Drosophila melanogaster: one gene and its partners. The protein of the gene in region 1 interacts with the protein of each later gene in a pairwise test. Each region holds a gene or a part of one and is shown in the gene's direction. Other genes may lie near its edges.

The links.
Region 2: the proteins of CG13445 (region 1) and CG34273 interact in a two-hybrid assay, tested with the Drosophila melanogaster proteins (one large-scale study listed by BioGRID).
Region 3: the proteins of CG13445 (region 1) and CG13707 interact in a two-hybrid assay, tested with the Drosophila melanogaster proteins (one large-scale study listed by BioGRID).
Region 4: the proteins of CG13445 (region 1) and glec interact in a two-hybrid assay, tested with the Drosophila melanogaster proteins (one large-scale study listed by BioGRID).

What each region holds. Positions count from the first base shown.
Region 1 is NT_037436.4:15,805,772-15,811,905, forward strand, and holds CG13445 (uncharacterized protein), read left to right. Parts: upstream 1-3,713; 5' UTR 3,714-3,726; coding exon 3,727-3,760; intron 3,761-3,822; coding exon 3,823-4,112; 3' UTR 4,113-4,206; downstream 4,207-6,134. Other genes in the region: CG6244 (uncharacterized protein), read left to right, coding at 2,647-2,762, 2,816-2,948; fwe (flower), read right to left, coding at 4,933-5,077.
Region 2 is NT_033777.3:14,511,722-14,517,987, forward strand, and holds CG34273 (uncharacterized protein), read left to right. Parts: upstream 1-5,320; 5' UTR 5,321-5,331; coding exon 5,332-5,718; 3' UTR 5,719-5,766; downstream 5,767-6,266. Other genes in the region: mRpL11 (mitochondrial ribosomal protein L11), read left to right, coding at 203-337, 398-682, 743-913; CG8461 (uncharacterized protein), read right to left, coding at 976-1,106, 1,162-1,699, 1,761-1,826; Pde6 (phosphodiesterase 6), read right to left, coding at 3,910-4,531, 4,589-4,748, 4,885-5,038, 5,834-6,157, 6,224-6,266.
Region 3 is NT_037436.4:4,835,414-4,843,505, reverse strand, and holds CG13707 (uncharacterized protein), read left to right. Parts: upstream 1-3,397; 5' UTR 3,398-3,605; coding exon 3,606-3,728; exon of another isoform or gene 3,729-4,582; intron 4,583-4,667; exon of another isoform or gene 4,668-4,943; intron 4,944-5,058; coding exon 5,059-5,427; 3' UTR 5,428-5,715; downstream 5,716-8,092.
Region 4 is NT_033777.3:21,848,445-21,859,733, reverse strand, and holds glec (gliolectin), read left to right. Parts: upstream 1-3,467; 5' UTR 3,468-3,814; coding exon 3,815-4,334; intron 4,335-7,857; coding exon 7,858-8,024; 3' UTR 8,025-9,040; downstream 9,041-11,289. UniProt on the Drosophila melanogaster protein: Has a role in intercellular carbohydrate-mediated cell adhesion.

The sequences.
Region 1 (6,134 bases):
TGTTATGCATTTCTTTGTTTTTTTCTAACCCCTCCGTAATATCCAAGTAGTTCTTAGTCACATATGTATGTGTCCCCAGAAGATAATAATTCCCGATTCCTTGTGGGCGCCTCCTTTCCTTTCCTCTCAATTTCGTTGGCAGCGCCTTATGACAGTTTTATGGTCTTGGTGTTGGTTGCCCCACGCTACTTTGGTTTAAATGCAGGCAACAAAATCAGAGGACGGAGAGGAAAACGGGGAAATTATGCATAATTTAATTTGTATATAATATATGCATTTTCCGAGCACATTTCGAAATTCCTAGAAGTTGGGCGACGGAAGCCGCTGGCGACAGGCTGCCAACTTCGCTCCCCAACTTCGACCCAATCAACAAAAAGTGTATATTTCTGCTGGGGAAATTTATTCATGTTCCTCATTTTTTTATTGTGTTTTACTCGTAATTTGATTTTGATTTGGGAATTTTAATTAATAATCATGTTTTTCGGGGGGAAACGCTTTGAATTTTTGATGAAATATGGTTATGAATGCGCTGCGTGTGCCACGAACATGTAAATGGAACCGAAATAAAAATATTAATTGGATGGGGACACCTAAAGAGGCACCAAACAATATAATAATAATTTCATGGCTTTTAGAACATCTAATTGGCCGAACAGAAATTTTATGCTCTATCCAGCTTTTAAATTGTTTTAATTCTATATAGAGTATTTTTGGAATTCGCTCAGGTGTGCATTTCATTGGATTAGATATTATTAAGATCAGGTACCTATTAAAATTATTGTTCAATATCAAATTGGTTTTTTAGAATATTATATATTATAGAATTTAACATTTTTTCCTTTAATAGTTTTTTGACAAATATATATTTTATAAATAATATGGGATATACTACAAACCAAAGAACACCTTACAATGCCCGATTAGTTCTGAAATTCTTTTCCAAAAACTTTTCTTTCGAACTCCATTGTCGTCGACTTGAAAGCGGAACGCGTGTATTGCATTACCGGCAATAATAATGGAAAAAGGGAGGAAAATCTCAATTAGTGTGCACTCGAGAGCGTCCTGAAAGGAGCAGAAGACCAGAAGCTGAGTAGGAAATTTGCAAAAAAGATCAATTTTCCAGCGAAACGGAAAGCCGGAGTGCACATTTTAACAGGATAAGATGCGTTTAAGCAAATGAACGGACAAAAAGGACAAAGGACGTGAGTCCTGGCCGGACCCATTGAAGTTGCAGCCGAACAACAAAGCGAAATGGTCAAGCCACAAAAGGCAAACGGTGCTGAGCAGCTGGCCAAGATGTGAGCAGTGGAGATAAGCCAAGAGAAAGAACAAAAAAAGGAGCAGCAGATCCTAAACACAATGGCATTTGGCAGAAAGGAGGGGTAAAAGCGGAAGCAAAGTCTTAAGACTTTTACTCGCTGCTCGATTTGAAAAATCTCGAATTAATCCCATTTGGCGGAAAACATAACCAGTAAGGCAGGCAGGCAGTATCGAAAAGCATGGCGAATGGAATAAATGCCGCTAAAAAACAGATGGGCATCCTGCAAGGATGCGGCATCCTGCTGCCAACTTTAGTACAAATTTCATGCTGGCTTTGCGCACAGAACGTCGACTCTCTCAACTCGCCGACAGCGTTTTGGCAAGAACTGTTGACACATTCAGCTGTCCTTTGATGTCCTGGTGCTAATATGGTAAGCAGCAGGCATCCCGAAAAACCGGACCATCTCACAATTCACGCTGCGAGCAGAGAAATCCCTTAACACTCCAAACAGATTTGGCTGTCATCGCACAGTTTTGTCCTGCGGCGCTTTAGCCAGAGCAAATTCGGTATGTTGAAAGCGCTTCACTGCGTTATTCCTTGGCTATGCGATGTGGGAACATGTCCATATCTGTTGTCGTTTCATCGGAAATCTACTCTCTGCCCAAACACTTGACCCACATCTTTGGGCACCGAATTACCTATTTTGCCTGCTCAATCGAATTGCGTAATCGATACTTTGCCCCAAAAGCAGGCTCACGATCGATTGCTGAGATACAATGGCGGCGACAAAGGGATTTTCTGCTACATTGAGTTACGTAAAAGGAGGGATCCCAAGGTATTTCTTAAAAGGATCTCTAGACAGATGCTCAACTTATGTGGGCTCAATCAATTGAAGATCCTCGCTATCCAAACGGATCAATATCAACATTGAAATTATTCAACTGGAAACCCCACACAAAAACAGAGAAGCGGCAAAGGAGTATTAAACAGATTATTACAAATCAGTGAGTTCACATTAGGATGTTTTTAGTTTTGAACGGATATAATTTTAAAATTATATTTATATAAATTCCCAAAAGTATTATTATCTTATTACGTATTTTAAAATGTATTATTATTATATATTACGTGTAATAAAATCATTATTACGCTTTTTGAGTATGGAATTAAAAACATCAAATAAATGATTTATATCTCCGTTGATTTTTTACAACCTAGCTAAACAGCTTTTTTCTAGCTAAAATGTAATCATAATAAAAGAACCCGCAGTAACGACTGTCAAAAATATAATTTGACGAAAGTGGAGTCAGAAGTGTGCAAGAGCATATTAATTAAAAAATTGCAATTAAAATATTAAAATATATCGTATCTTCTGATCTTCTGCCATGGGTCGTCGCAAGTCCAAACGCAAAGGAGCCCCAAGAAAGAAAAATATTCAGCCGCTGCCCATTCTTTTCGATTGTCCATTCTGCAATCACAAGCAGTCATGTGAAGCGAAACTGTGAGTAGGAATCAAAATTTGGTTTTACTCCGCTAATTTCATAGTATTCATAGAGATAAGGCGAAAAAAATAGGAAGAATTACCTGTACCGTGTGCCAAGAATTTTTTCAAACACATATAAACTATCTCACGGAGGCAATTGATGTGTTCAACGATTGGATTGATGCTTGCGAGGAGGAGAACTAACCATTTACACTTTTTAATACGCTTTAAAAGCATGTGAAAACACTTTGAAAACTTATAAGCAGAAAGCCTTAAGCAAACTGCTCTTATACTTCAAATATACACGGAATTCTACTTATACGCGTGTATTATACAAAATATTTTACATACATACGTTTCTGCTGCATACTTTTGAGCTGTGACCTTACATTTTATATAACTAAAATTAAATGAATAAAAAACAAATCACAATATTAAAACTAGTTAGGATCATAAATAGTTTTTGCTACAAAATAAGCTTTCAGTTTTGGAAAATGTACTTATATTTCCAAAATTCTACCCTTTTAAATGAAAAGCATGACTGTAATTAAAATGTCTATAATATTTGTTTTTTTTTTCTAAAAAAAACACTCATTTACCGATTTAGAAGGCATGTGTGTGGATTTGTATGGACCTTTATATTAATATTAAGTATATTCAATTAGTGTATCTCTAAGATATTTTACTGCCACCTAATTTGCAACCCAATTTACAGCATTGAAGCGTGGTTCTAACAACACAAATCACCCAGCAAACCCCGAAAGCTCTGACCTTGATCGCTCAAACTCAATAGCTATGCTAATATTTTGTTAGTTGTTTCTATGTAGAATTTTGGGGCATTTCGTTGATCTTGGGGTAGTCAAACACAGTCTGCTGGGTCAGAGACGATTCGCAAGGCACTTGCCAAAATTTTAGTATATAAGCCGAAGCCAAAAGCTCACTCAGCATCGAAAGCATCTCAAGCTACAATCAATCATCAAATATGCAGTCTAACAAGGTTTTCTTCGTGTTCTTTGGTGAGTTAGGAAAAGGAAGCCGACGAAAAGGATACCAAATCATCCAAGTCTATCCAATTTAGGTATCATCGCCATGGTGATCGCCGCCAGTCTCTCCTCGGATGTTGTGGACAAGGGTGATGATGTGATCAGCGATCGTCGTTTCCGTTGGGAATTCTCGCAGGACTCGGATGAGTCTGCCAACGACTTGCAGGAGGATGATGATGATGATGACGATGCCGCGGATGATGACAGCGGCAGTGCATCCGAAGAAATTTTGATCATCGAGTATCCTGAAGGCTACGAAAGCGGCTCCAATGAAAGCGCCTCCGATGAAAGCGTCTCCGATGAAAGCGCCTCCAATGAATCTTAATCATTTAGTTAACAGTTTTTGTAATTTTTGTTTTTATAAATAGTATTTGTTGTTATGGCGAAAAGTTTTAAAATTATACGATATTTGTGAGCGTAATCTGATTTTTTATTTCCCCCAAAAGATACCGCAGCTCAGGAATCATCCAAAAAGCATGCCCCACAATAGTTACATTTTAGCGATGATTACAACGATGATTTGTATAATTAATTTTATTTAACATAATTTAAAGTATCTTTAATTCAATTTTAATATGGTTTACATACAATATTTATAGTGTTATTTGCATTAATTTAAACATTTTAGTATTATGCATTTAAATATATTTAAGGTATATTTAAACTATGACTAAACATAAATTTTACATGATCTTTTTTTTCACCTCGCTAGTGATGTCGTTCAATAATTTATTTGCAATTTCTACTTAGTTGAAACCAAATGTTTTGGAATGATGGGACACAGGCAACACAATTAATTAATAGGATACAGAAAACGCAAAACGCTTTTAAAACCAATATACATTTACATACATTTAATACAAAAATGGTTTAAAATTTAATGATCTTGTTTTGGGTGGCTTCTTTCTGATCGAGTAATTTGGATTGCTCTAGAAAGAGATCAGAGCTAATCGGATTTAAAAACTTTTGTTATCCATTTGCGTTGGTTATTGAACAATCAGAAATTGCACATGATTATGTTTATGATTGCCTGCCGATGTTCTCTTGGTTAGGTTTGCCCTTCAAATGTTGCGTTTTGAGTCTTGTTTTCTCACGGCACACCCAGCTCTTCGATTCCTCGAAATCCCGATCAGCTAGCTTCTGAATCACACATTGCTGTCCGTGCCCACGGCACCGGTGAAGGAGAAGGGCTGGGCGTTGTTCACAATCCCCGCTCGATCGTTGGTTTGGGCAGGTGTGTTTCCTCCGAAGGTTTGCTGAGCAGCTGCCCGCATGTCCTCGGCGGATGCTCTGTTGAAAAAGTAAAAGGATTACATTAGTCTTTAGAGTACAAAACATTGGCAAATGGTTTCCAAAATTATACAATTTACAAGTGCTCAACTAAAAACTGTGACTTTGCCTACATGAAACCAAAGGGTCGATAGAACAGCCAGATATTTCTAAAAGCTTTTCTAAGACAAACAAAAAAAAACTAAGGCAGCATGAATACAGTATACAAGTCTTACATAAATACCGGGAACTACAGGAACTAATCTAAATCAATTTCATTCTTCGTGTGCACAAGTAAATAAATACGTCATCAATCATTGACAAAATCTACGAAAAATATACAATTTACAATCGTTAGCAATTACAAAAAGGAAAGCTCAAAATGTATTTGCCTGTAGTGATCTCTTGGACGCAGCAAAGTTCAGAACTCGTTAACGTAAATCGTATATTGTTGTTAATCGCTGTTGGCCGTCGTTGAATGTACTTGGCTTTAACGGCAGGATTTTGGACAGTTTTCAGGTGGCATGTACAAAGTGTTTGATATTTGAATCATGCGCGTTCAAATTCTAACGAAATATTTTACATGTTTATGTTTTCATTTTTAGTGTTGCGTTCATTGATTAACAAAGTTCAACAAATTAATTATGATTCGTGATTACTTTAGGTGAGACTCTTAGTTGCTGGCGAAGGCTAAATTGTAATAAATTATCGCGAGTTTCTTGTAAATAATGTATATTTAAAGTTATAATAATTAAACTATACAATAACTTATGCGTAAAGTAAACAGATTTTGGAATGCTTCTGTGGTAAGAATGCCAATAGGCAACAACAAAAATAATTTAAAACGTTTTTCTCAGACTTTCAAAGTTAAACGATTGGAATAAACTCTTATAAATAACTTAGGTATACTAAAAAAAATAAGCATATACTTCTAGCAAACAAGAAATCATACGAAACCCGAAAACGAAATCCTATTAACCAAGTAATTGTCTAAAAAGAAAACCGTCTAACAATGCATCAAATTGAAATGGACACTTTTCGGTTACAACATTTAAAAAATATAACTGGTAAATTCTCA
Region 2 (6,266 bases), on another chromosome or scaffold:
TTGGATCTTTTAAACCATCATCTCATGTTTAATGTTGCTAAAGACCACATTCGGAAGTATGTTTTTAGCTATTCAGCTATACGTTCCAACTAGAAACGACAGCAATACCATCAGCTGTTGCTGCTTCTTCTTCCTTCCACCAACACATTTCGCTTTGCATAACAGTTTGAATCAATTGTTTAGTTAAAATAAATCAATTAAAATGTCGAAGGCAGCGGGTAAGCTGAAATCGCTAAAGAAGACGGTGGAACGTGTGACGCACACGAGCAAACTGAAGACGAATATACCTGCGGGAATGGCTGCTGCAGGTCCGCCATTGGGACCGATGTTGGGACAGGTGAGTTAGCCGGCTTTAAAACTAAAATATGTATATAATTTTGTTTTTAACCACACACAGAGAGCGATTAATATCGCCGCTTTCTGCAAGGACTTTAATGCCAAGACCGCGGAAATGAAAGAGGGCGTACCGCTGCCGTGCAGAATTTCCGTAAACAGCGATCGCAGCTACGACTTGGCCATCCACCATCCGCCGGCCACATTTTTCCTGAAGCAAGCGGCGGGCATACAAAGGGGCACCATGACTCCTGGCAAGGAGGTTGCCGGCATGATCACTCTCAAGCATTTGTACGAGATTGCAGCTATTAAGATTCAGGACCCGCCCAATGTACTTCTTACCATGCAGGTCGGTATTCCGAAAAGTTTGAGATATAACTTCGACTCAAGTTTATGCCTTGTCTCTTAGCAAATGTGTGAGATGCTCATCAGCATTGCTCGGACCTGTGGCATCAAAGTGGTCAGGGAAATAGATCCGGCGGCCTATGGCGAGTTCCTGGAGGAGCGCAAGTTAATTGTGGAACAGCAACGGCGCGAGTTGCAGGAGAAGCGGGAAGCAAAGATGTTGCGCACGGGCTAGATTTGCTTATTTGCACTGTGCTTTTAATTGTTTAAAATACATTTATACTTAAAGCGTAAGTCTTATTCTATACCAATGCGTTTGCGGTCCTTGGCGGCGTTCTTCTTGCGTCGCTTTTCCATGTGCTTGTTGAGTTTTCCAGTGTTTTTCAGCTTCTCGAATTGGGCAACTAGTTCCTTAGCTCGACGCTCCTCTGTCGGAAAAAAAAACAAATTAAAATTTGATTTCGCTGTCGATCAGAAACGTACTCTTTGTCAGATAATGAGGTTGTTGTCCCAAATCGTGTTTCTTCTGAATGGCGGAGCGCTCCTTTTTCAGTTGCTTCTGTTTGGTGTGCCACTTCTTGTCCTCCACATTTTTATTGATAAGTCGCTGCATGGTGTCCTTTATATGGTGCTTCTCCGCCTCATCCTCCACTTCGTCCAGTTTTTTCTTCAGCTGACCAACTTCCTTTGCTCGAATCTGGGAGACAAACTGGTAGTTCTTCTTGAAGGTTTCTGCACTATATGTTCCGGATTTTTCGTCAAATCTTGGATCTCTGAGTTCAACATTTTTTTTCCGCTCCACTCTGTGCTCGGCGCCCAAAAATGGAACCTGTCGTCTGGTGGTCATTTCACGAGGTCGGTTTTTGTTTAGCCGCTTGAGGTCGGTTTTGGCCTTTGGTTTTTGGGGTCTAGAACTCTTGCTACCGAGCACAGCCTCTTTGTACACCTTGGCGCCCAGCTCCTCTTTTAGTTTCATTATCTCCTCGAATGACATTCCTTTGAGATCTTCGCGAATGGCATTCTAAAACGAAGTTCTCGCATATGTAGTAAACCATATTTCTGTATAGTTGTATTACTTGTACCTGAGTTTCGTTGTCATCGCTAGCCTCGTGCTCAGAAGCTGAAGAGGATTCACTGGGAGAGGACATTTTTGTTTTAGTTTTCGTTTAAAATTTTATTTATTTACTTTTTAAGAAATTCACGTGTGATTGTTTGGGTTATAAACAGCTGACTGCTGGGCTCGATAACGATACGTTACGATAAGCGCTGCGATACACGTTAGCCAACACTGAACTTAGTTAACCGCTTTATTTGAATTTATAGTTCAAACTAAATATTTGCATGTTATACACTTAAGTTATTGTTTCCTTTTTTGATAATATAAAGTTACCCGTTTAAATAAAGAAACATTTTTTAGAGTAATTCTCAATGGTGTGATTTATTTTTGATTTAATTGCAATTCTTACATAGTAAGGTAAACAAACGTGAATCTTTTTTTTTTCAATCTAAGGAACAAAAACAAGCAACGAAATGACCAAGAAATATACACAATTAATACAATTGTCACAACTAAATCCAGAAATGGGTTTAGATCGGCTCGTAAAGTTGTCTGGATTTTGATTTTCAGGCGAGCGGCAGAGTAACTAGAAAAATAGTTGTAAAACTTGATTTTTGTTGACATTTTATAGTCAATTTTGATTAGCACACGCAGACCAATAAAAAATTAATCAAAATGCCCTTAAACACGTTAATTCTAAGCAATTCAGTTATAGATACATTAGTCAAATGTAAATATTTTATATAGGTTCCGTATATGTATAATTAGTTTATATTTATGCTCTATAGTATATAAGTAGTTTGCTTTGTACACGTACACACATTTAAAGTAAACTTGATTGCAACAACTAGGAGAGTGTGGGACCGGATTATTCATATTAACCGAGTGCGATTATATGCCAAATATCTATCGTATTCGCATTTTGCTTGAGTTCGAGTTCAAAAATTGACTGCTGTGTATCTTTAAGCTAATATTTATATTTATACAATCAAACACAGTACGAAAAGTATTATCCATTTATCTTCAATTGCTGCCTTATGTTCCATCTTTTTTTCGAGCGGTTCGATCAATCAATATTTGTGCTGTGCTCACAATCGTGTGGGAAATATCATATAATATTGCTATAGTTTGCTACGTAAATACACACCTCTGTGCATACAAATATATGTATATTAGTTAGCTATAAAGTAGATTTCAAGCCGATCACAGGCGAGGACTAGTAGTGATCCCTATCTGACTTCCTGATGCCCAATGCCCGATGCCTGGTATGTAGCCTCAAAATTCTTAACTAGGGGTTTCGTACACATAATAGTATCTCATACGTTTGTTTGACTAGCACGATTTTGGTTAGGGTAGCTACGTACACTCTTAGCTAGTTGGTTGGATTCCATCTACTTAGTTAATTAGTTTAGTTTCGCGGTTTTTAATCACCTAAAAGCGACAGACAGATAGTTAGATAGATAGGTCGATAGATAGATAGATAGATAGATAGATAGGGAGAGGATAGTATCCGACAAAGGTTCAACCCGAGGGCTTCGCACCTGCGGGACCGTAAATAGATCACATATTTTGACATTCACTTATGCTTAATATTGCAACTGCATTTGCTTCTGCCTAATGCTCATTCGCTTGTATATGGGTAGTTATAGTACTTAAAACATATATCAAACATGTACATATACTCCTGCCTTCGTTCTCGATTACGATTAGATTTGATGCGTTTCTTGTTAATGAAATTATACATGAGTTTCCAATTCTTCTGTTTCTATAATATGTTTCAATTAAAAGCACTTTTTCAAGTTTCTGAAGTTTGATAAATAACTTTTGTTTACAATAAAAATTTACATTTATATTTAATTTTGTAAAATAGGATAAAAGAGAATAAACTATTTTATCCCTGGTGTAGCAGGGACTTTAGTTTCAATGTCTTGACATCTAAAGCAAAAGTTATTTTATTGAAATACATAGTTTCACAAACAAAAACATTCAAACCAAACGAAATCGAGTACCAAATCCTGTAGTAGATGCAGGTGGAGCACAACAAGATTTTTAATGTGAGTTTTCAAAACTCCAAAATCCAATTAGAACTCGGTCATCCCCCCTCCGCACTTGTGGTCAGTCTCACTGCCCGTGGTGCTGGAGGGAGTCGCCATATTCTAATTGGACGGCTTTCGTCATAACAACGCGCACAGTTTGGAACGCTTTTTGGACTTGTCCACCATCTGGCCGCCGGCAGATGAGGTGGAGGACGAGGCGGACATGCGGCCCATGCTCCCGGAGGCCTGCGGCTGCGAAGGACTCGTAGGACTTTTGTCATCCATATCCTCGCTGACATGGGACTCAAGGAGCTTCAAGGAGGTCTTCGGCTTTGAGCCATCCATGCTGTTGTATAGAGTCTTTGATAGCTTCGATCGAACTGCCTTGCCCAGGGCTCCGGTCTTCTTCATGCTCAATCTGGAGCCACTTCGCTGGTGCTCCGGCGTGTGGCTATCCTCGCTGCCATGCTGAGATTGCTGATTGCAATTTAGCGTGGTCACAGTGAACTCGATATCCTTGATTTCTTCATCCGCACACGCGGCAAACTCCTCCACGGGTTTGTCAATCGTATCGTGATCGATCCATGTGAGGCCCATTTCCACTTTCTCGGCCAGATCCTGCCAGTTGCGTCGGTTCTCCAAGGTTCCTTCATAGAGCGGAGTGATCCAGGGAAAGGTGTCGCAAAGCACTCTGTAGAGTGGTAGACAGATCACGTCGATAAAGCCCACCTGCATCTTGGGTAGCTCGTCCTTGCGCTCCCTAATAATAATTAAACATTTTAAGCACATTTTTCTTGAGATTTTCCTAGTAAGTTACCTGTCCATCATGGCGACTGGTTGGGTGTTAAGCTGCAGCTTTTCGAGATCTCCTTGGTCAAAGAACTCATCGGCCACCAACTTGGCAACCTTGTGCTGAACCTCCCAGGGCTTGGCAATGGCACTCACATCGCAAGCAGTCATCATCATGCCACAAAGCACTAAGATCAATTGAAATAAGGTATTTTGTTAAGGGTTTAATTATAAGAAATACAAGAATAAATCTTAAAGCTAAGCCAAACTTCAAAAATGGGTAAAAAATTGTTAACACTGGGATCAGCATTTATTTGGACTCACAATCTTTCTTCTCCTCGCCCTGCCAATCGAATTCCCCATTTTCCACCAACTCTAGGAAAGCGTTCCTTTTCTTGAAATACATGGCCAGATCGGTGGACAGAATGGCGCTTTCCACGGTCTTCATGACTGAACGATAGTCCTCAGGTGACAAGGCCTAAAAAAAAAGCGAATATTAACATGTGCATTTGTTAATTCCGCTCCTAGTAGTTATTTCATACTCAACAACTTCTATTCAAAAACATCTGTGCCTATGACGTCACCGTACTACTAGACATGTGCTTAAAATAAAGTTCACTCCCTATTGAAGTCAAGGTTGAGTCAACTCGCAGATATTTTGTTAAACAAACATTTTTGGTGATTTGGGGGTCGCTACCTAATCTCAATTTCACTATAAAAGTTGTATTTTGCCAGCAGAAAGCATATCAGTTCTCAATAGAAACATCCAACATGAAGTTGTCCCTTGTTCTCTTCGTCCTCTCGATGGTTTTGTATGTGGCCCATGTCAGAGCTGCTGACAGCAGCACAAGCACGGAATCGAGTACCAGCACCACGGATAGCACCACCACGGAATCCACCACAGAGTCTACCACATCGTCGTCCTCTTCATCTAGTTCGGGCTCAAACAAGAAAATCGTGCGTCTCAGCAATCTGAAGTACTCGATCACCAGGAAAATCAGAGTTGGATCCACCACCAGTTCCTCGACCAGATCCAAAAGTTCCCGCGCCAAGTCCCGCAAGGCCCGTCTAAATGCGGCTAAACGATCCAAGAAGGCCGCCAACCGAAAACTCAACAAGAAGTCCAAGAACCGCAATGTACGCGTGGTCCGCGGTTAGGTTAGCCGCAATTATATTTTTAATAATAAATGGTTGAAATTTATACATAAATCATAATTGGCTTATATACTACTTATATACTACTACTATACTTATTAAAATGCTGTGCGCTTACCTGAAATATATTATTTCCCTCCGAATTGAGAATCATTACGCACTGATCGAAGTGATGGTGCTCCATCGTGCTAGTGGTGTACAAAATGGCCAGCGGGGACTCCGTTTTGGTCTGGAATGCATTGTTGGTGCCACGATGATCCAAGTCATGGCACAAACAGGCCACCAACAGACCCAGAATCTCCAGATCTGTCATAAAGCGCTCCATCTTTCCAGTTTTAAGCATGGCGAACATCGTTTGGGCCACGTTTAGAGCATGCCTCCAATTGTGATATTTAACAGGACGATAATTCTTGCGAACACTTAAAACCCAGCGGCAAAGTACCTACATATATAATATTATACAAAGAAATGGATTATATATTTATCATCTTTAAAGCAATTGACTTACATCATATGGTATCTGAAACTGCGAGACCAAATTGCACTGCATA
Region 3 (8,092 bases), about 11 Mb from region 1:
GCTCAACCCAAAGGCAAAAACGCAGCCGGCGGCTTAATCGAGATACACTAGAAAAATATATTCAATCATTGGTAGAAATTTGCATGCTTTGTGCAATTAAATTAAAATTCCTAAATTTCTTATTTAAAAAAATATATATCTCTATAGATTATAGATATAGATTATTGTTAATTTCTTTTTAACGTGTCGAAAAGAATTGCTGATAAATGTGAAATAATTATAGTTCTCTTAATTTAATTTGATGTTCCCTTACTTTTTTTCCTCAGCAACTTTGCTCTTCATTTTTCCTCAGTATGGCTGACAAAAGTTGAGGAGTTATATTTCCTATGGGCGGTAACTGGGACCGCCCCTTTATGCACACACACACACACACACACAGTCGCAGAACTGGCGGCGATTGCTCAGACGTTATAATTTGTAATCACGCTGAGTGCAGCGGCGGCCCGAAAACCAGGAGGGGATGCTACGCGCTCGACCAGGACGATATGGCAACCAGGACGAGGCCAGGATGAGGATGTGGGTATGGATGTGCATGGGATGGGCATCCAGCAAGTGGTTGTTGACTGCCGGATGCTTAGCAAGGTCTTAGCTGTTATTACGCTCATGTGTCACTTTTGCAGGACCAAATGCGTGTGTCTGCATCCTCTCGCCGTCTCTTTCGCTCCATTTTCATCTGTCCATGTGTGTGCTCATATTTTATTCAGCATGCGGTGGTTATCCAAATGCTGCGCTCTCGCTCGCACTCGCTGGCCACTCTGGATTTTTTTGACGTCTGCAGACATTTTGCCAAGTTAATCTCCGGTTTGTTTTCCTGATAATGGGTTTGTCAACGGTACTTTGTGATGCCCTCTCTTTCTGTCTGACTGTCTATCTGCCCCGACAGTAAGAGTGTGTGTGTGTGTGTTTGTGAGTATATCTATATTAATATTTGCATAAATGCAGTTGTAGTCGTGAGTGAGCTTTCTCCTTTTTTCACTGTCTGTCTGATGGACTTTGGTCCTTGTTTTTCGGCTTCGTATTTACCCTGTCAAGTGGTAAAACAAGTGAGAGTGATAAGAAGGGTTACTAAAATTGGGCGGCTGGTGAATACCCTCGTATAATGTTTTAAGCTAGAACTATTTTTCAATACAAAAGTTATAAGGTAAGGATAATTAAATATGTTTAAAGGAATGGATGAAACATGCTGGCAATTTCTGTGGCCTGATGTCAAATATACCCTTCCTCACTCTCTTCCTTAGGAATACCTAACACAGCGGTGCCCTAAAATGGTGTTGCATAGCAGCCACGCCCACAAGTTATAACTTGGTTCCGCCCCCAAATAAATCAAGCGGCTGTTGCAATTTTCTCGCAACTCCAAAGAGGGATATGCGTGATGTGGACGTGGGCGACTTCTCGTGCGGTTCAATCAGCTGCAATCTGCTTCGTCAGGATCAGCATCACCACTGGACCACATGCTGGTGACAAGGGCAGATCCACATCCAAGGTCTGGACGGAACACCTGTGTCGACTGGGAGCTGAATCCCTCACAGGTGTCCTGGCCAAAACACGCTCTGCCTGCTGATGGCTGATTCTGACAAGCTCAATTAGGGCGGGAGCACTCTAACCGGATTGAAATCCGGATTGCGATTGGGTGGCGGTAGTCCGAGAACACTGTTTTCGGATATAATGGGGCAAAAAAGAAACCGTTTAAATTAATTGCAGTTTTAAGCAGATTGAAAGTTGTTAAACAGCGAGCCAACGAGCTTACAGTCCGCAGTTGGCTTCGAAGTTTTCCCACCCGCTGCACGCACATTGCACCGCACGCACACACACTGCGCTTAAGATGATAATCATGTTTACGTGGCGTAAGTTAAATTGCTAACGTAATGGACTAACAGCAGGTGAGGACGACTCGAGGATAGAAGGATTCACGGAGCAGGATCTGGTTCTGGGAACTCGAAGTGCATTGCGAAAAATGTATCCTGAATTAGTTTAGTTCGAATTGAAAATATGATATGCTTCACTTAAACTGTTAGGTAACTAAATTTAAATCGCAATAAAATATTTTAGAAAAATTATTACTATTACTTATATTTTATCCGCATTTTCTTGCAGTGCTCGAGCTGTTCTGGAGCAGTTCAGGTAGCTCATGCGTGCGCCGCTGTCAGCGGCACATTTTGGGCTCTTTCAAGTGGCCAACAACCGGGATGGCCCAGAAAGAGACCATTTGCTTGGTCGTGCCACCGGTTGGGGCAGGGATTGAATTGGAAGCTGGAAGGACGACGGATCGCAACGCTTCTGTGTGGTGTGCGCTTCATTGGACAACTGAATATGCAAATTGAATTGAGCGTATTATCGACAAGAAGGAGGCGGAGGAGCGTCGGCGAGGAGGGCGTGGCCCTTGCAGGTGAGCAGCCTCGACTTGGCCATCAACATAATCGCTCAAGCCAAGGGCTTTGGACGGGATTGCTATGGCAATGGCGATGGCGATGGCTATGACGTTGCCGAGATGGAATCGGTGCCCAGTGGGCCAAGATGGTGGCAAATGGTGCACAAAATTAAAATTTTAATGGCTAACTGCTGATGCTTGTTTGGCTTTCAGCAGAATGGGTTGTGGAAGGGAACTTCGATAAGGATGGTGATGGGGATGAAGCTGGGCCAAAGAAAAGCACGATTAAAGCCAAGTCAACGAGCAGCTCTAAAATCATTGCGGCTTGCATATGAATACGGGAAATGCTGCATACTTCGTGGCTACATTGGGAACTCAAGTGTTGCATACTATTACGATGGAAAAAATAGGGGAAAGAATGGTTGCATAATAACATTGCCTGCTACTAGGATGGCTCATAAATCTTTAATGCCTGTCTCGCTCCGCTTTGGGATAAAACGCGAGATGATGGAACCTCTTAAAAAAGCCTGTGTTCCAAGGTTTTACCCCACTTCGTAGCGTTTTATATTTTATGTCTAGTCCAAACCAAAAATTTAAAATAAGTAATGCCAATGTCAAAGACAAAAATGAATGTTTGTGGCTTCAAAATATATGTTCCATCGAATAAATTGTACAGCTGATATTTCGTTTTTCTATTGGTACCCTTCACCACCAAACACCGGAGACACCTCACTGGCCAGACACCACGGACCCAACGGACACAACGCACAGCCGGAAGCCAAATCCCGGGCTCCGAACCCTGGTACGTGGTCCGTGGTGCGGGATCCGTGGTTGTGGCCGCCGATTTTGAGATGTTTTTGAGTGGCTATGAGAAGTGGAACTGCACCAATTGTTCCTGCACTGCGAGTGTGTGTATGGGTATTGGTTGAGTGTGTGCCCACACAGATATACTCACACACTCAAGTGCCCGGCTGATTGACGCACGTAAACAATTTACTCATTGAAAGAAGAGGCTTCAGTCAACGGCGAGCGCTGTTCGCGAGCGGAATTCCGCGGCAACATGTAGAGCAGCAACAAAGGCAGCGAACGAAAAACTACAGAAAATAAATAAAAGGAAAACAACAAACACGAATTAGTGCTATATGTAAAAGTCCAAAAAACCACCCGAAAATTGGACAAGTGTCGCCGGCGGTGGGCAATCAAAAAATAAAACATTCAGGGCATCACAGATGCCGCGATGACGGAGCCAATTAGTGCGGCGGTGCAGCGGCGGAGGCAACTGCTCCGCAGCGTGGAAAGTTTGCGCGGTCGTGTTCGTCAAGTGCTAAAATGTGTTATTAATCTGCATATTGAGTTTTTGGTAATTGATCGACGAACCTCTTCCCTTTCTTTCCCTGTCCAAATTGTTTTTACCACACAAGCGTAATCCACTTGGCCGCAGAGTTACACTTTTGTTGCTGGTTTAAAGTGTTGCAAACACATTGACAGATTCTATATCTGGTATATATGTACAACTGTGCCTCTGTCTGTATAATCTCCTTCTTATCTGGCCTTTGTGCCACTTCTGTTATCGCTCCATCACTTTCGAAATATTATCTGTGCTTTCACAAACAATTCTGTTCATTTCGGCTTTCATTCTAAAAATAGCTCTTTTATTTGGATACAAAAATTAAATTGTAATGCATTAAGTAAGCTAGTAGCAGTAAAATTATCTTACCATTTTTACTAAATGCCGTCTTCAACTAGTCGTATACGTAATCTTCATAAAAGTAACGTCACATTTTTGCATGCTTTTCTTAATGAAAGCTTGTCAACAAACTCTTAGCATTTAGCTTAACAATGGTCAACCGACTATATCTCTTAACCCCTTTTAGCCATTGTAATTTGTTATCGCTATTTCTGCTGCCATTTCACCTGCTATCACCTGTTGTTCAACAATGCGCGACCGGCAACTCTGTTAACAGCTGCAGCAGCGATTTGGAACATGTTAATGCAATTATAGCCAGTTATTGGGAACGAAATGTTAGAATGTTGGACGGGTCAGAGAGGGTTGGGGGTGCGACGTGGGGGTAGTTGGGGACTGCAGTGATTACTAGCACCGCTAATTAGACAATGTCGGTTCGGCCATAGGCAAACGAACGGTTTCGCAATGCATGGCACAGTCATGGCCAGATGAATAAGTATAAAGTTATTTCCGCACAGGATGATTACCCGGTATTAATTGTCTAACTAAATATACAATCCAACTTCCCTAACTATTGTATTTTAACTACAATACATGGATAAACTATTTTTACAGCTTCTTCGTTTGATTTTAACTTTTGATAACTACCTTTTTGGTGTAGAGTGTTTGGGGTAGGGTTTACTTTTCACCCCTTCGAAACATGCACCCAACATGAGCTTAGTTGGCCGTGTTCCTAGGCTTGGCTAATTTGGCACTAATAGAGACGCTAGTGACGAGGCCTTTGGAAAGATATTAGAGCTGAAATCCGAGCCAACATCGCCGAATGAATGGCGCGAATAAGGGGGTCCGGAATGGCGACCTGGATGGGTGGATAGCTCAGCCGGCGGGAAAGTAAGGCTATCACTGACCGTAACGCCGTCACTGTCATTGTGTCATTGGATACCGCAGTGCAAATCGAGCAAAATAAGCGATTTCCCGCTAATCCAATTTCCACCTCACCTCGCAGGTGCTCGAATCCGATGTGGCAGCTTTGCTGGATGAGGTGCGCGAATTCAACGACGACCACGAGGAGATGCAGCGCCTGGACAGGATGATCGAGGCTCTGCGGGACTATAGCGGACCCACGATATGCCACGAGTGGCCCTATCCCCTTATCTTCAAAGGCACAATCGACGAGGCACATGTCGCACAAATACTCAATGCCAGCGAACTGGATTTGGATACGAAGTTGGTCAAGGTGTCCGGCGGAAGGAACTGCATCCATGTGGAATCCGATGTGGTCACAGCTCAAAGGCGCTCCAGATTGCTGTGGTTCTCCAGAAGAAGCAGGGGGAAACGAGCTGAGCGCTTAAAGGAACCTAATCCTGTAGTTTGAGCTTAGCTCTGAGATTGAAACTAGTCCGAAATGCATATGAACAAAGTATTGTAGCCCAAGCTATAATCTGCCATTACAAAAGAGCCGAACATATTTGAGTATAGTATAATTAAGAAAGACTGCGCTGAGATGTCATTAACCTCCTTTAATTGCAAATTATAAATTGACATCCTTAAGCACATAATTTTTGAAGAAGCATGACATGTTAAAAAAAAATATTTGAAATATCATATTCCATCTAAGTTAAGAACCTTGTGTGATTAATAAAACGATTTCACTTGAAAGTATATTTTCATTAAGCCAATTATTTAATTATCCCAACCGTCTCTCTAACTAAATACATCAGGGTAGCCATTAAATGACATACTTGGTTGGTAAATTGTTCATTTCTGGTTGTTTCATTTACTGCGGTCGCCTGCGAAGACAAAATTTCGATATTAGTCCCCACCGCAAACATCTTGTATTCATGATATTTGCGGTGGGGATGTACATTGATTTTGACAGAAAGCACATCGGCACAGCGGCAAATATCTGAGGTGAATATGACATTCGGGGATTCCCCGCTCCCAAATTGTAGTTTCCGTTTTCCACTGGTCAGCCGCAACAAGTTACCGCACCTAATTAAAACGATTTCACACGCAGCTTCTTAAAGGCTCGAAAGCAAAAGTGCAAACAACAAGTGCTTTTATGCGATGTTTTTATATTATACGCTGGCGCAGCTATATTAATTATAAATAAAACCAAAAGAGACAGGTCCAGAAACAATAATAAAACGCGTTTCACTTCCCATCAGCGAATGTGTGTGCGTATGTGGGTAAATTATTCATAACGGTATTATCAGCTTTTCTGCGCTCTGCTGTCTGATTAAATTGCTCGACCATCGCCGGGAAAAGTCCAAGGATGCCCGGGATGCTGGGTGAGTGGATAAGGTTGCGGGTTGGGCGAAAGTGGTGGACAGTTGGCAAGCTTTTCATGGGCACACGGGATCTACAGTGGATGGTAAAGTCTGGAATAGAATTACAAATAATATAAATAATTACTTGTATATGATAAGTGCTTCTTTTTCTATAAAACAATATAACTTTTTTAAATCAATTTAATATGTACTAATATGATAAATATCATTGGCCTTAGTTAAACTTATTGTAATGACTCAGACTGTGCCTAATAAGCGAGGTGTCCGTTTCTGTGTGGGTGTCCGTAAGCTGGCGCATTCTTTGTCTCTGTGTTGTGCGCGCAATTTATCAACTCGACCGGCTATCTTTGTCGCCCGTGTGCTGTCCTTGTCTCTCCCATGTTCCATGTTCTCTGACCCACACCCTCCCCCACCACCCCTTCGTCTGACCCATTCGGCCTGTGGTCAGGGACAATTGCAGCAGAGCGCTGTAATTATTAAAAAGTAAATAACAACAGCCACCGCACAGCGACAGCAGCAACAATCGCGATAATGAGCACAAGTGCAACAATGCACTTAGAACAATATCATTTTAAATGATAGCGATTAGGTAAATTGTCAATGGTAGACTAACTAAATCCGTATAACTAACCTCTGGTCTGTTTAATAAGCAACTTTATTGAATCGATAGGTTCTGTTTTTAGACCTATATTTCCTCCCGCCTATATTTTTCTGCAAGTGCATTCCAATGAAAACAAAAGTGAAATCGTTGCAGAAGATTGTCGCAGGGACAAAGGAAAGGCCAAAGGTTGAACTCTGCACTATCGAGCGCTGCTTTCCGCTCGATTCCCACTGCGCTCTTTATCTAGAGCAGCGGCAGGACAGTGAGCGTGGTCATTTTCCATTTTCGCCGCGCGAAAGCCTGCAAAATTAATGGCCAACAAGGACGTCAATGGCGGTGGAAGCACTGGCGGCCACAGCATCAGTAAACAGCGCTCAGAATAACAGTCGGTGCAGCGGGACGGACAGGACGTCAGGACATCAATGTTAACAAAGCCCCGAGTGCAGCAGATCTCGCGGTATGCAACAGCTTTGATAAACCTTGAAAGCGCCTGAAATCTGCACTCAACGAGTGTTGTTTACATTTTCAAGCGATTCGCATTTATAGCTTGTTAAACGCTGCTTAACTGTACAGTTGTTGCGATATACAGGACAAGTTAAATACTCACATTCAGTGAGTAATAATCGTACTATAAGCCATTCCGTTATGGTTGAAACAATTTGAAATCAAAGAACTTAAGCCTGGCCAACATGTCGTATGAGCAATACTGTTCGTAAGCTTTGGCAACATGTCGTATGATTGATTTGGGGCTACGTGTTTGGTAAACTTTTGTATGGGAAATAAAAACTTTGCATACCTGCACTTTTTAAGGATTTTCGTACACTTTTCTCGGAAAGTTCGCCTCCACTTGTTGCCCACTGCGAACAAGTTCAACGGCCGGCGACGAGGCTAATAACTGGATTCAAGTGTGATGGCAGGTGGAAATCCGAGGGAGGGAAATGAAGCTTTTGCACCTGGTCTCAGTGCCAATCAACGGCTCAGTTATTGTCCGTATCGCCAGGTGGCAAAAGGAGTCTTTCTTTCCGGCAAAGCGCGGCTCATAAATGCCAGCGCACGCACACTCTTCGATTTTTGTTGCTGCCGTCGCCGACTGGCATCAATTAAATTCGAATTGTTGCAGTGTCTTCGATTGAGATGCCCGTCTCTTT
Region 4 (11,289 bases), on another chromosome or scaffold:
ACACTGTTAAGAAATTCAGGAACCTAAGTTTTTGTAACATTCAGCCTAATTGATTAATTTGTTTAATTATACATTGTTCTGTTCTTGATTCCATCTATATATATCCACAGTTTCTCTCAGTGCAAATGGGGATGTATTTCAAGTGCGGAAACGGGAAGAGAGAATGCGTTATATGGAGCAGGCGTTGCGGAGGAAGAAGAGTGGTAGATTGCACCGGGCTGTGTCAGATTCAGGTTTTGGTTTTGGCGCAAAAAATGTGTGCTCAAAATTACCAGCAGCAGGTATTCGCACTCGTATGGGTATTCGCAACCGTGTGGCTCCGATGATGAGGGCAGCCGCATCCACATAGCCACATACATATCAACATCCACAGCAGCAGCCGCAGAAATTGGCGCAAAATTTACAGATGCCTCAAAAAATACAAAAAAAAAAAAAGAAAAGAAACAAAATGAATGGAAAATGGAAAGCAACTGCAGCGGCACAGGTCCCCATTTGTATGAGTGCGCGTTTGTGAGGCATTTCAAAGACGAGGAAAATCGCATGCCCCAAACTTCCTAAAGACAACCCTATCTTATGCATACATATAGATATATGTACATACATGTATCTCACCCCACCTAAATCACTTTAAATAGCGGGCTTGCTTCGACGATATACGGAAATAAATACATACATATGCATACATATATCAATACCGCAAATAAATTTCTAATCCCTGATTATGCTTGCTATCAAGACAGTTCAACGTAGCATTTGTCGACTAATTCGTAAACCCCATCCTCACTTTTTTATGACTCACTAAACCACAACGCACTGATTTCAACGAATTTAATTGTCTGCTTATATTCCATTGGAAATAACTAAGTTTGGCAAATCGAATTCTTTTAATTCTGAAGTTCAAAGTTTTTGGGCGCCATAATATATGCACAATTTGTGGCAGTGCAAACAAAGTATCTGCTAGATTTATTTCAAGCGACCGGATCTGCAGTTGTTGTTGCTGCCACGCGCGCCCATATTGCATATTGCACACACAGCAAGAACAAATGAAATGGAAAAGAAAACATCTGGCAGGGGGAGGAGAAAGCAGAAATGAGGGGACACAGCCCGGGCTACTACTTAATGAGTTCATTTATTAATTAGACGAACGTGACGTCAGCACGGACGGAAAACGACGAAAACCTCGGTGTATCTCAAACTCCCTGCGTTACGTTCCGACACTAAAACAGCAGTTAACCTTATGCGCAGCGCGTGCGACAGTTCCATTGATCGGTTGCGTTGGCTCCTGGGTTCATTCATTTCATTATCATTCAATGGTTTCTGACCTTTTGAGCCGGGGTTACATGGTACGTGGCCCATAAACTAATTTCTGCCAGCCAGTCGGCGGAAAACAGCTTGAGTTTTTCGCAGACAAGATGCGTGCGGCGGAAGTGACGACGGAAAAGTAGCCCATCAGTAGACCCAGACACGTACCCAGAAAACATCTGAAAGATACAAATATACGCGACGACATGCATTCGACAGTGAAAAATCAGCGCAGCTACGAGATATTAAAAAAAAAACAAAGCTGAATCGCAGTTGTTGAAATGGTAGAATGGAAATCTCTTTTGAAACTTTCACACATTTCCAACTGCATTGTTACCCTCTCGAGTGCCACGTCATTATGTGGATTTTTTGGCGCGAGGGTTGGTTTTTGCACAGACCTACTCTGACACGACCTGTGCCACCGATCCACCCGATCCGATCCGATCCTATCCCATCCCATCCCATCCGATCCTCAACCCCTCATTCACCTCGCGAGCAGGTAGTTGCCAATCCGAATTGGACATCGCGCCAAAAAATATATGAGGAAGGGATATCAATCTTCTATACAGTAATCTCCGGAAACGCGAAACTTTTACTAAGAGTTGCTGAGATTTATTTAGTTCGATACATGAAAGTAATAAGTGAATAATCTGCAGTAATATATCTAGGAATATATTCAATTGGTATCCCTTCTAGAAACAATACATTTGTTTGTAAAGCAGATACTACATATGAAGATGATAAGAAAGAAAAACATTTATTCATTCTGGCGAAAATTCTTATAAAAGCTTATAAAGCCAATACAGACACCATCTGTATCCCTTTGCGAGGGCCCACTGTACGCCTGAAAACAATAATAAATCGCAATCCTTTGGGCGCGTCCTTTGTCCGGGGCACTCTTTAAAATGACTAATCGGTCAAAGAGCCAGACGAAATGGGCCTGAAGACTCCTCCGATTCGAGGTAACACCAGCTGCGCCTCCTAACCAACCACCAGTGGAGTGGGGGCCAGTTTATCGGTTCGGCTGACTCAGCATTATTGAAATTGAAATGACTTGTGGTCCACATTATTTACTACTACCAATACCACTACTACAACCTACTACCTCTATTTCTATGCGGTTTTCACTTTCGTTTGTTCGAGATACGCTTGAATTGCCGCCGCAGGCGCGAAAGTTGTTTATGATTTTTTGTTGACTATTTTGAATTTTTCGTATTCCTGTCGCTGGCAATTTGTTCTAGCCACGTCTGGCCGCCAATTAGGCCGTTTAATGCCGCATGAAGCCCGACTCGACCTTGAGTTAGGGCCCAAAACGCGCTAACATATCAGTTAGTTAGCGTTTAGCTCAGTATTTGTGCGAGGTAAATAGCAACGAGCCAGCAGTCCCTAGCATAACTAATTGTATTTACACGGCCTATAATTGGCACACAAAAAACGGATTCACTTTCCGTAATTGTTACATGTAAATATCGTAAGTATAAGATGAGCAACTGCATTATTCTGAGCTAGGAATCTCTATTTGCATGGGATACATTTAATAGTGAGGTGTGGCATTGTGTTTGAGGTACTGCATGTTGGCATCTCAAATTGGGTGTTATGATGTCATCGATTTAATTTATAAACTACTTGGAATTCATCATATGTTTGCTTGCAATGCAATTCAGTTTGATGGCCAACCTTGAGTAAAAAAAAAAATACGAACTTGGAGATATGATATTTTTCTTAATTTTAAATTTCTAAAATTTCACTTCAATTCATTTGAACATCAAGGAAGTAAATGTAATTTATGACGTCATCTCAGTAGCCAGAGATGTTCCCTACTCGCGCCACCTCTCAAAACTGCTGCAGTTAAAAGTGCAATAGCGGTGCTAGGAAACAATTTTTATGGAAATAAACATATATTATAAGCATATTGAATATTATAGCTTCGATGTATAATTTTTGAAATATTTTCTAGATCACTTTCAAGTATGTTTTTCTGTGCATTTCACCCTAATGTTAATGATACCCAAATGTAAGAGAGCGTAAAAATGCTGAAGAGAGTCACGAAAGAGCGCAGAGTGACCGTTTCGGCGGGCCAAAAGCGAAAGTAAAGCGTTATCGATGCGGGAGCAACTGGTCACACTGCGCCATATAAGCTATATAACTTGCTGAATCCCTGGTCTCTGCGCGATTCAGTCTTTGACTCTCCACCAATTCGGTCGCTTGCGTTTGCTCCAGCTGCGTTCTTTTCGCTCTCTTTGGCTCGCGTGAAAGTCGTAAAGTTCAGCTAGCTCTCTACGATACAGAAAAAGAAACGCATACAACAAATTCGCCAGCGATAGAAAACCGATTTAAACTGCAATTGCAATGCCTAAAATGCGTACGTGAGTTTCGCGCAGTGATCGCTGTGAAAGTTCAAGTGAAAGCGGAAAGAAGAAACAAAGCGAGAATACTTCAAAAGCAATAAACCAAAAAGTGCAAAAATACCTAAAGTTTAAACAAAGAAAACAAGTTATACAAAACCATAGCCATGTTGTGTCCGCCAATGGCCCTGGGCCCATTTCTCGCCGCCCCCGTGCCACGCCCACCGCCCAGCGCATCGGAGAAGAAGAGAATCTGTCGGAACCTATTCAATAACGCTCCCGGGGACTCGAATATCGATCAGCTGTTGGCCCAGGAGCAGCACACGCAGAGATTATACGTTAAGGAACGCTACGGATATGACATCCAGCTGGAATCTAATCGGGATGCGGATGCGAATACGGATGCGGATGCTGATACGGATGCCCATTGTCAGGTCCTGCGCGGAATGCGGTATCCGACCTCAAGGACGATATCCAGCACCGATGCCGATGAGTGCAATCCAAAGGCAGTCAGCCAAGCGCCGAGGGGCATGGCCCTGACTCCCGCCCAGATCTCCGCCAGCGCAAAGCTGATCCTTCAGAAATGCCCGGAAAGCGATCGCAAAAAAAGCAACGGCAGTGCGGATTTGGCCAACTGCACGCGACATGGCCAAAAGCCATATGCGAGGCAGCCACAAGGCCTCAAAGGTAGGTTTTTTTTTTCCATGATTTGCATGTTTTTGTTTCACCTGAAACGCTGGGTGCTTGCTCAAAATATACGAATAATGATTACTCTTTGGTTCCAAGTTATTAAGTTTAATATACTTTCAAGTTATTGTTAAATTTTCCCAAAGAATCAGAGCAGAATCAGAATATAGTGAAATCTCTAAAATTAAAAAAGTCTCCTTCGAATTATCTCATACATTTCCTCGGTTTTTGTACGTATGTTCTATTTACTAAGATCCCATGTACTTCTTATATAGATGATCCAATAAGCAGACACCTGATTTTAGTTGCATTTTCCGTTGTTCCTTCCTCTTGCAGTCTCTGCTTTGTGCTCGTCCTTTGCCACAGTCGTCACCCTTATAAAATTCCTCCCCTTAGTTGAAAAAAAAAACCACCCTTATTTTCTGATTTTCCTAATTTCGTTTTTCCCCTTCTGCGTCGATTCTTATTGTCACTTCTTTCCTACCAGTTTTTATTCTCTTTATTTTGGCTAGTTTTTCCGATTCTTTGTTCGTTCATTCACGTGCGTAGGGATTTATCTCTTTGGTTACTCGAAAGTGAATTGGGATACATTTACATATCTGATGAATAACAGAAAACTCAAAAAAGTATTATTGTTTGGCCCCATTGCTTAATCGAATTCGAATAAATTTCTCTAATTTCAAATAATTTGAAATAATAAATGTATTCAAAATCATTGTATTATGAAATTTTAAAGATTCAGTACAAGTTTCTACGACTATTGCCTTAAGTTTTAGCAACAAGACAAGGGACTATTAATGCAGTCCATTGTTATCTAATAATAGATTTAAGATGAACGCTATTAAAAAAAACTTACCAGTTTGTTTATATTAAGCATCACTTATGGACGTTCGACTGTACCTTTAATTTTTGGCTTATTATTATTGCTTTACTTTACGCTGATATTCCGCCGATAGCGTGGCATTCAGTGAGAGAGGGAGAGCTGGGAAGAAAGAGAGCTGGTCTCCAGTTTGTCTTTGGTTTGGCAGTGTGTCAAAGCGAAAAAGCTAAACAAAAAATAAAAACTGTTGAATAACAATCGCGCGCCAAAAATCTTTCCATATTTTGCGAAAAGAGATTGCAGCTGAAAAGTGAATATGAGATGAGTAAAATGCAAAGGCAATTAATTGAGAGGCCTCAATTAAATTTAAATCAACGCCTTCTGGTTTTCTTGATTGTTGTTTTTATTCCTGCTGCAGTTTCGACACAGAAAAAAAAAATAAATAAAAAAACAAAAAATGAGCTACACAGACCTGCGACTGTACATGAGTTCACTGTAGTTGTGTTAGTTAGTTGAAAAGGCCGCACCCACAACGACAAACGCAATCTCAACCAGAGGAAAACCACAGCTCTTATACGACGACGTCATCCCACTTCCACACAAACGCACGCACACTTATGCATTATCAAAGAAAGACGAGAGAGTCAGAGTCGTCGCTCTCTCTCTCTCTCTCTCTCTCTGTTTGTCTGCTGGTTTTTGGCGCGAACTTATTATTTTCGTGTTTATTTTTAGTCGTCTTCGCTGATAAGCTTTCTGCGTGTGCGAGTGTGTGTGCGTTATTATGCGTAGTAGTAACTACGCACGCACGTTGATGATGTTTTTCAAAAACTCGTCGTGAAGGTCACACACACCAACGAACGCAATTCGCGTAAGTACAGCAGCGCCAAATGTTGTGTTTTGTTGTACTGTGTGGCAGGTCCAAAAACGGGTCGAAAAGCGAAGCGAACAAAAACAAATCAATTAGACAAAAGTTCTGTTATCTCGGCCTTTATTCCTATCTTGTTTATATTCTTTTTTGCTATGTTTTGATCACCACTGTACTTTTACCACCCAGTTGGCGCGCTATAGGAAATGCATACATATTCCTATGATATGATAATTCATATTACGGTATTTTGCATATTTTTACTAACAATTTACAGCATCTTCATTATCATTTGCATGTGTGGATTTTTTACCACGTAAATTAAGTTTTCTAAGCGGTCTATTTGACTTTCGTGATTATGTTTTGCTTGGCCTTCTTCGCCACGCCCCAAAAATGTGTGTGATATTCCCCTAAATTTATGTTTTCTAATTATGCATTCAGAAACTCTCTTTTGGGCTCCCACATAAATATTTATAATGTGAGTTCTTTGTTTTCATCGCCGCCTCTCTCTCTACACACATTTCGTAAACAAAACGCGTTTTTTTTTTGTTGTGCAAGATGGAGCGAGACAGAGCTAGTTGGAGCTTCGTGCTTATAATGATAACGGTAAACGCACTACCGCCCTCACACTCCCCCTTTCTCTTTCTCAACACCTGCTTTTTACAATGGACTTGATCGCTTTGCCGTTTTTCCTTCCTTTCTGCTTCTTCTCCTCTGTTTCGCTTGACGTTCTTTGTCGCTGGCTTATAATTTTCTATAACTGTACATTTGATTATATCGCCAGAAGCAGCGCGACTCTTTGGCTGCCAGCCATTTCCATTCTCTTTCTCGGGGGGCTTCGAGTTTAAGGAACACGTTTGTATCGTCCAGAAAGTAGGCTTATTTCACTTGTTGCGCTTTTCGTTCCACTTTAATGGATACATTTGGCATAGAATCTTAACTGTATGTATTTATCTTGACTTCGAAATGATAAGTTTGCTTCGTAATAGCAAGATACTTTCGTTGGAATTCATAGTTCTATAATTCTAAATGAAGCACCTACATGATTTTTTAATTATAATAGACAAATTACTTTGCGAGTGTGTTTAAGTATTCGGTTATGTAAGCTAGACTTGGGGCCTTCATGTTTTTGCTGTTGTTCAGCTTTCCAGCTTTTAGGTCACTGCGCAGTGTCTGCGGTTTGGTGAGCGTCTTTGTGCGATCGTGTAAGCTCTAGCGGTTTACGTGATGAGGCAACCGCAGCTGCCAAGCGATAGAGGTTTGATAGAAGTACAGTCGCAGCTCTCTAACTGAAACTGACATTTAGCTTTCAAAGAGGAATTTCTGAAATTTGAAATGACATTCTTTGTGACATTTTTTTTAGTACTCAAATAATAAATATATATTTGAGTAGTAAAAAATGATCATTGCAGGATTTGTTTATTTTTAGATGCTTAGATTGCTTAAAGATACACATTTTACTTTGACGTCATGAAACAATCTCACATGGATTCATAATGCAAGTCGAAGACGATCGACTGAACTTAATACACTCCAGACGACTGCATTCTGCCATTAGCACTTATCGCTGTGGCCATGACATTTAGTATATCGGCCAACGATGATCAGGTATAGGTTTACTTTACTGTACACTTGCACAAGTGTGCATAATTCCAGGGCGATAAGAAAGAAGAAAAAGCGAAACACCCACTGACACGTATGCAGTAGTAATGACGCTTGCACTTTTAATTTTACTTTCCCATTTCCCTTTTGCAGCCTGATTAGTCACAGTATTTTATTTAGCTATTTTACAATGCCAAATACTAAACGTTTACCCCCTTTTTTTCTTATCTCTTCAGGCATGTACAATGTTCGCAAGACCGTGAATGGTATTTCGAAACCCAACGTCAAGAATGGTTACAACAACAACAACAACAGCAGCAGCAGCAACAACAACAGCAACATGAATATTAATAATAAGATTGTGGATAATGGTACTAGCGAATTGGCAGATCAGAAGCAGTAACTTTGGATCAGAATGACGATGACAAATAGCCCCTGGCGGAGCAATAATTGCAATATATGATATTAATTGTAAATGTAATTTTAATTTCTAAAATAATTTGTTTATTTTTTTGTACCCCCGCCATACACAGATACTTTTGTGTATGGATTGTACGTTTGTTTTAAACCAAGACTTGACGGTCCAAAAATGTTGTTGCATAACAAATGATTAAGTGAATGGATAAAAGCCAACCAGAAACAACAACAAAAGCAACCCCAGAAAAGATCGGCGCGCGTGCACGGCCAAAAACAGGCAAAAAAAATATATGATTAATAATTAATAATAGTAATATATCCGGATGCATTGCGATATCGGTCTTATAATGGAAATTATTAAGTTAATGGATATGTGCTAATGTTAGACAAGCGATCGACAGCGCCATGCATCCACTATATATAGACTAAACCCCAACCCAAACCAATTCAAGCGTTCTCAGCGTGTTTTCGGGTCCAGATGCACGCGTGTGCCAAAAGTATTTACAATTTACTTTGTGTCATGATCTCAATTATTAAAAACAATTTTATTATTTTGTTTATCTAAATGTAATTATAATTGAAATTATTTAAAAATTCTTCTTAGCCCACAAACAAACACACACACACACCCTCGCCCCTCTCATTCACACACCACCCACGCACACTTTTACACACACGCACACACACACACTGTACTCATATTTATTGTATGTACATTATCGATGTGACATTTTAAATTGTATGTACTGTCTATGTATAAAAACTTCGTATCTATGGCAAAATTATTTCCCCTTTAAGAGACCCCCCCATTTTCGAAATTCTATTTTGAACAACCAAACTGTGTATATTGTACGGAGTGTAACCAAACTCCAAGCAGCTAAATGCGAAAAACCACAACAACAAATACTGTGCATATTTCCTTAAAAACTTTGTACGAAAGCAAGATGAAAAAAAAAAACTATTCTACTGTAACTCTCAAGCGGAGAGTAGCAGAAAAAAACCAAAACAAAAAAAAACTCTTAAAAATACAAATGTAAAACAAAAAAAAAAACATTTAAAAGCTTTTTATTTGCCTACATTGGCTTTGTTGTGGAGAGGGGGTGCCTTTTGGGCCGAGATGGCGTGATAATTCTCAACCGTAAAGAAAAGCGGAGAAAGATGGAAAGATTCATAAATGGATGGAATGAGTCAGCATTCGAGCCTCGAGCTGCGGATGCAACAGTTTCTCCATTAGACAAGGGCCGCTCCCGCACAGTGAACCCTCGATAATAAAGGAATTTTCGTAGCAGAAGTGGCGCCTAACGTTACCCTAGACGGCATGATGACTCCGCATTTATAGAACTGGTAAATATCTTCATCATTTTGAAGTGCAACCATATGATGGCTATTTATCTAAGCTACGAGTATGTATGATAACGTTTTTTTTTTTGGCCGAGTCCGCACTGTTCTAATTACATTCGATGCAGAGGTTTGGTATGCGTTCAGAAAGTGAAGTGGATCGGAAAGGAAGTGGAAGACCCATTCCAATTAGTGTGCTTTCCCATGTTCGCTTTCATCGCTAATCATCCGCAGCAATTTGAGAGACTTCACTGTGGGCACTCGTCGGTCTCTCAATGGGCGCACACATGTGCATATCGCCCGCGGCGGACATTTCGGAAAATGCTTTCTAGTCGTTATTTGTGTGCTATTCGTCGTACTAGTGATTGTTGTATCTACAATGTGTAGCTGTGGAGTGGAGTGGGCACTTAACATTAGATTGGCTGCGACTTCCGGCGAGCGAAACGATCGTTGGGCGTTTGATGATGATTGATGCTGGCCACCGTTCGCATTTACCCCATATTCATCCTCCTAATCAAACGGATGTGGATTTACAGAAAACAATTTGTTGATGTCTTAGAGCCTAAAAAAACAACTACATATTACATCTTAAGCAAGAGCATAGCAAATACAATAGATGCTAAAATTTCAAATTAGTTAGTTGGTTAGGTATAGCACTAGTTACAGACATATGTACATACATACACATTCTTCACAAAACCGACACATTAGTTTTAGTTACTAGCCAGTTGTTGCAATCTTTGCCATTTCAAGCATTTGGCACTGCTCTCTTGAGCGAATCAAGAATACAATATTCTATAATAATGGCACTGCTGGCAGAATGGAAAATTACATGGCCTGCATTTAGTAACAAGCATGTACAACATATTTGCCCACTTAACTAGCGGTCTGGTACGGTTATTAGCATGCAATTTCAAGATTTTAATGGCTCTGCACTCGCATTGCAATCACACACACACACACACACGCACTCGCATTCACGTAACGCAACAGAGCTCAGGCGTACAATCCCGGATACAGTAATAGCACACAAGGTGATATTAATAAACAGCGTCGATATAAATTTAAAATTTTCCAACCCAAATTCTTTTTTTTTCAATTTGCAAGAGAAGTATAGCTTTAAGGTTTATTTTTTATATCAATAGTGATAAATCTCCGCAATCAACATAAATTGAATGCACTCAGCGGAAGCACACGTTTATAATGAGAAATTATCACGAAATATAGTCACTAAGCGTTCGTATTTAAAACTAAAAAGATTCTGAAGAGTACCACAAATTTTTCGTTCGTAAGCTTTTAAATTGGTTTTTTAAGTCCTTAGGCCCTATTAATTTGCCCGCCATTGTGTACTACGAGTGTGTGTGCGGGAAAGAGAGAGCTAAAGGTGTTTGTACTCTCGCGTTGGCCGCAATTCGCGTTTTTTGTGCATTCGCCACGCAATAAATTCAAAGCTGCAAAGCAAAATTTATGACGTCGATTTGAGCTTGCCATCTCTTTCTGCCATAACGGTATAGTTGAACCAAAATGAATAACCAAATACAGGGTTTTCGTATATTGTCGTAAGAATTGTACATATCTCTATTTCTTCTTTGAATTCACATTTCATTTGGTTTTTGTACAGTGCGAAATCACAATAATTTATGGCACGACCAAACGGCGGAATTTAATTGCATTCCGTTCGCATTAATCACCATTAATGTCAGTGGCTGCATTCGAGTGGGGTGCAATGTCTGGAGGAAAAGCGTGAAAAGCGAGCCAAGGCCATCTGACAGCCTGTTAGTACATATGTACATATGTATGTATCTATGTGTATGCATGTGTATGAAATTGAAATCAATCAGCCCTGAAGTGAGTGCCCCTACTCCCTAGTGCCATCTCGCTCCCCCTCGCCAATCCCGCATGACGTGAGGTCA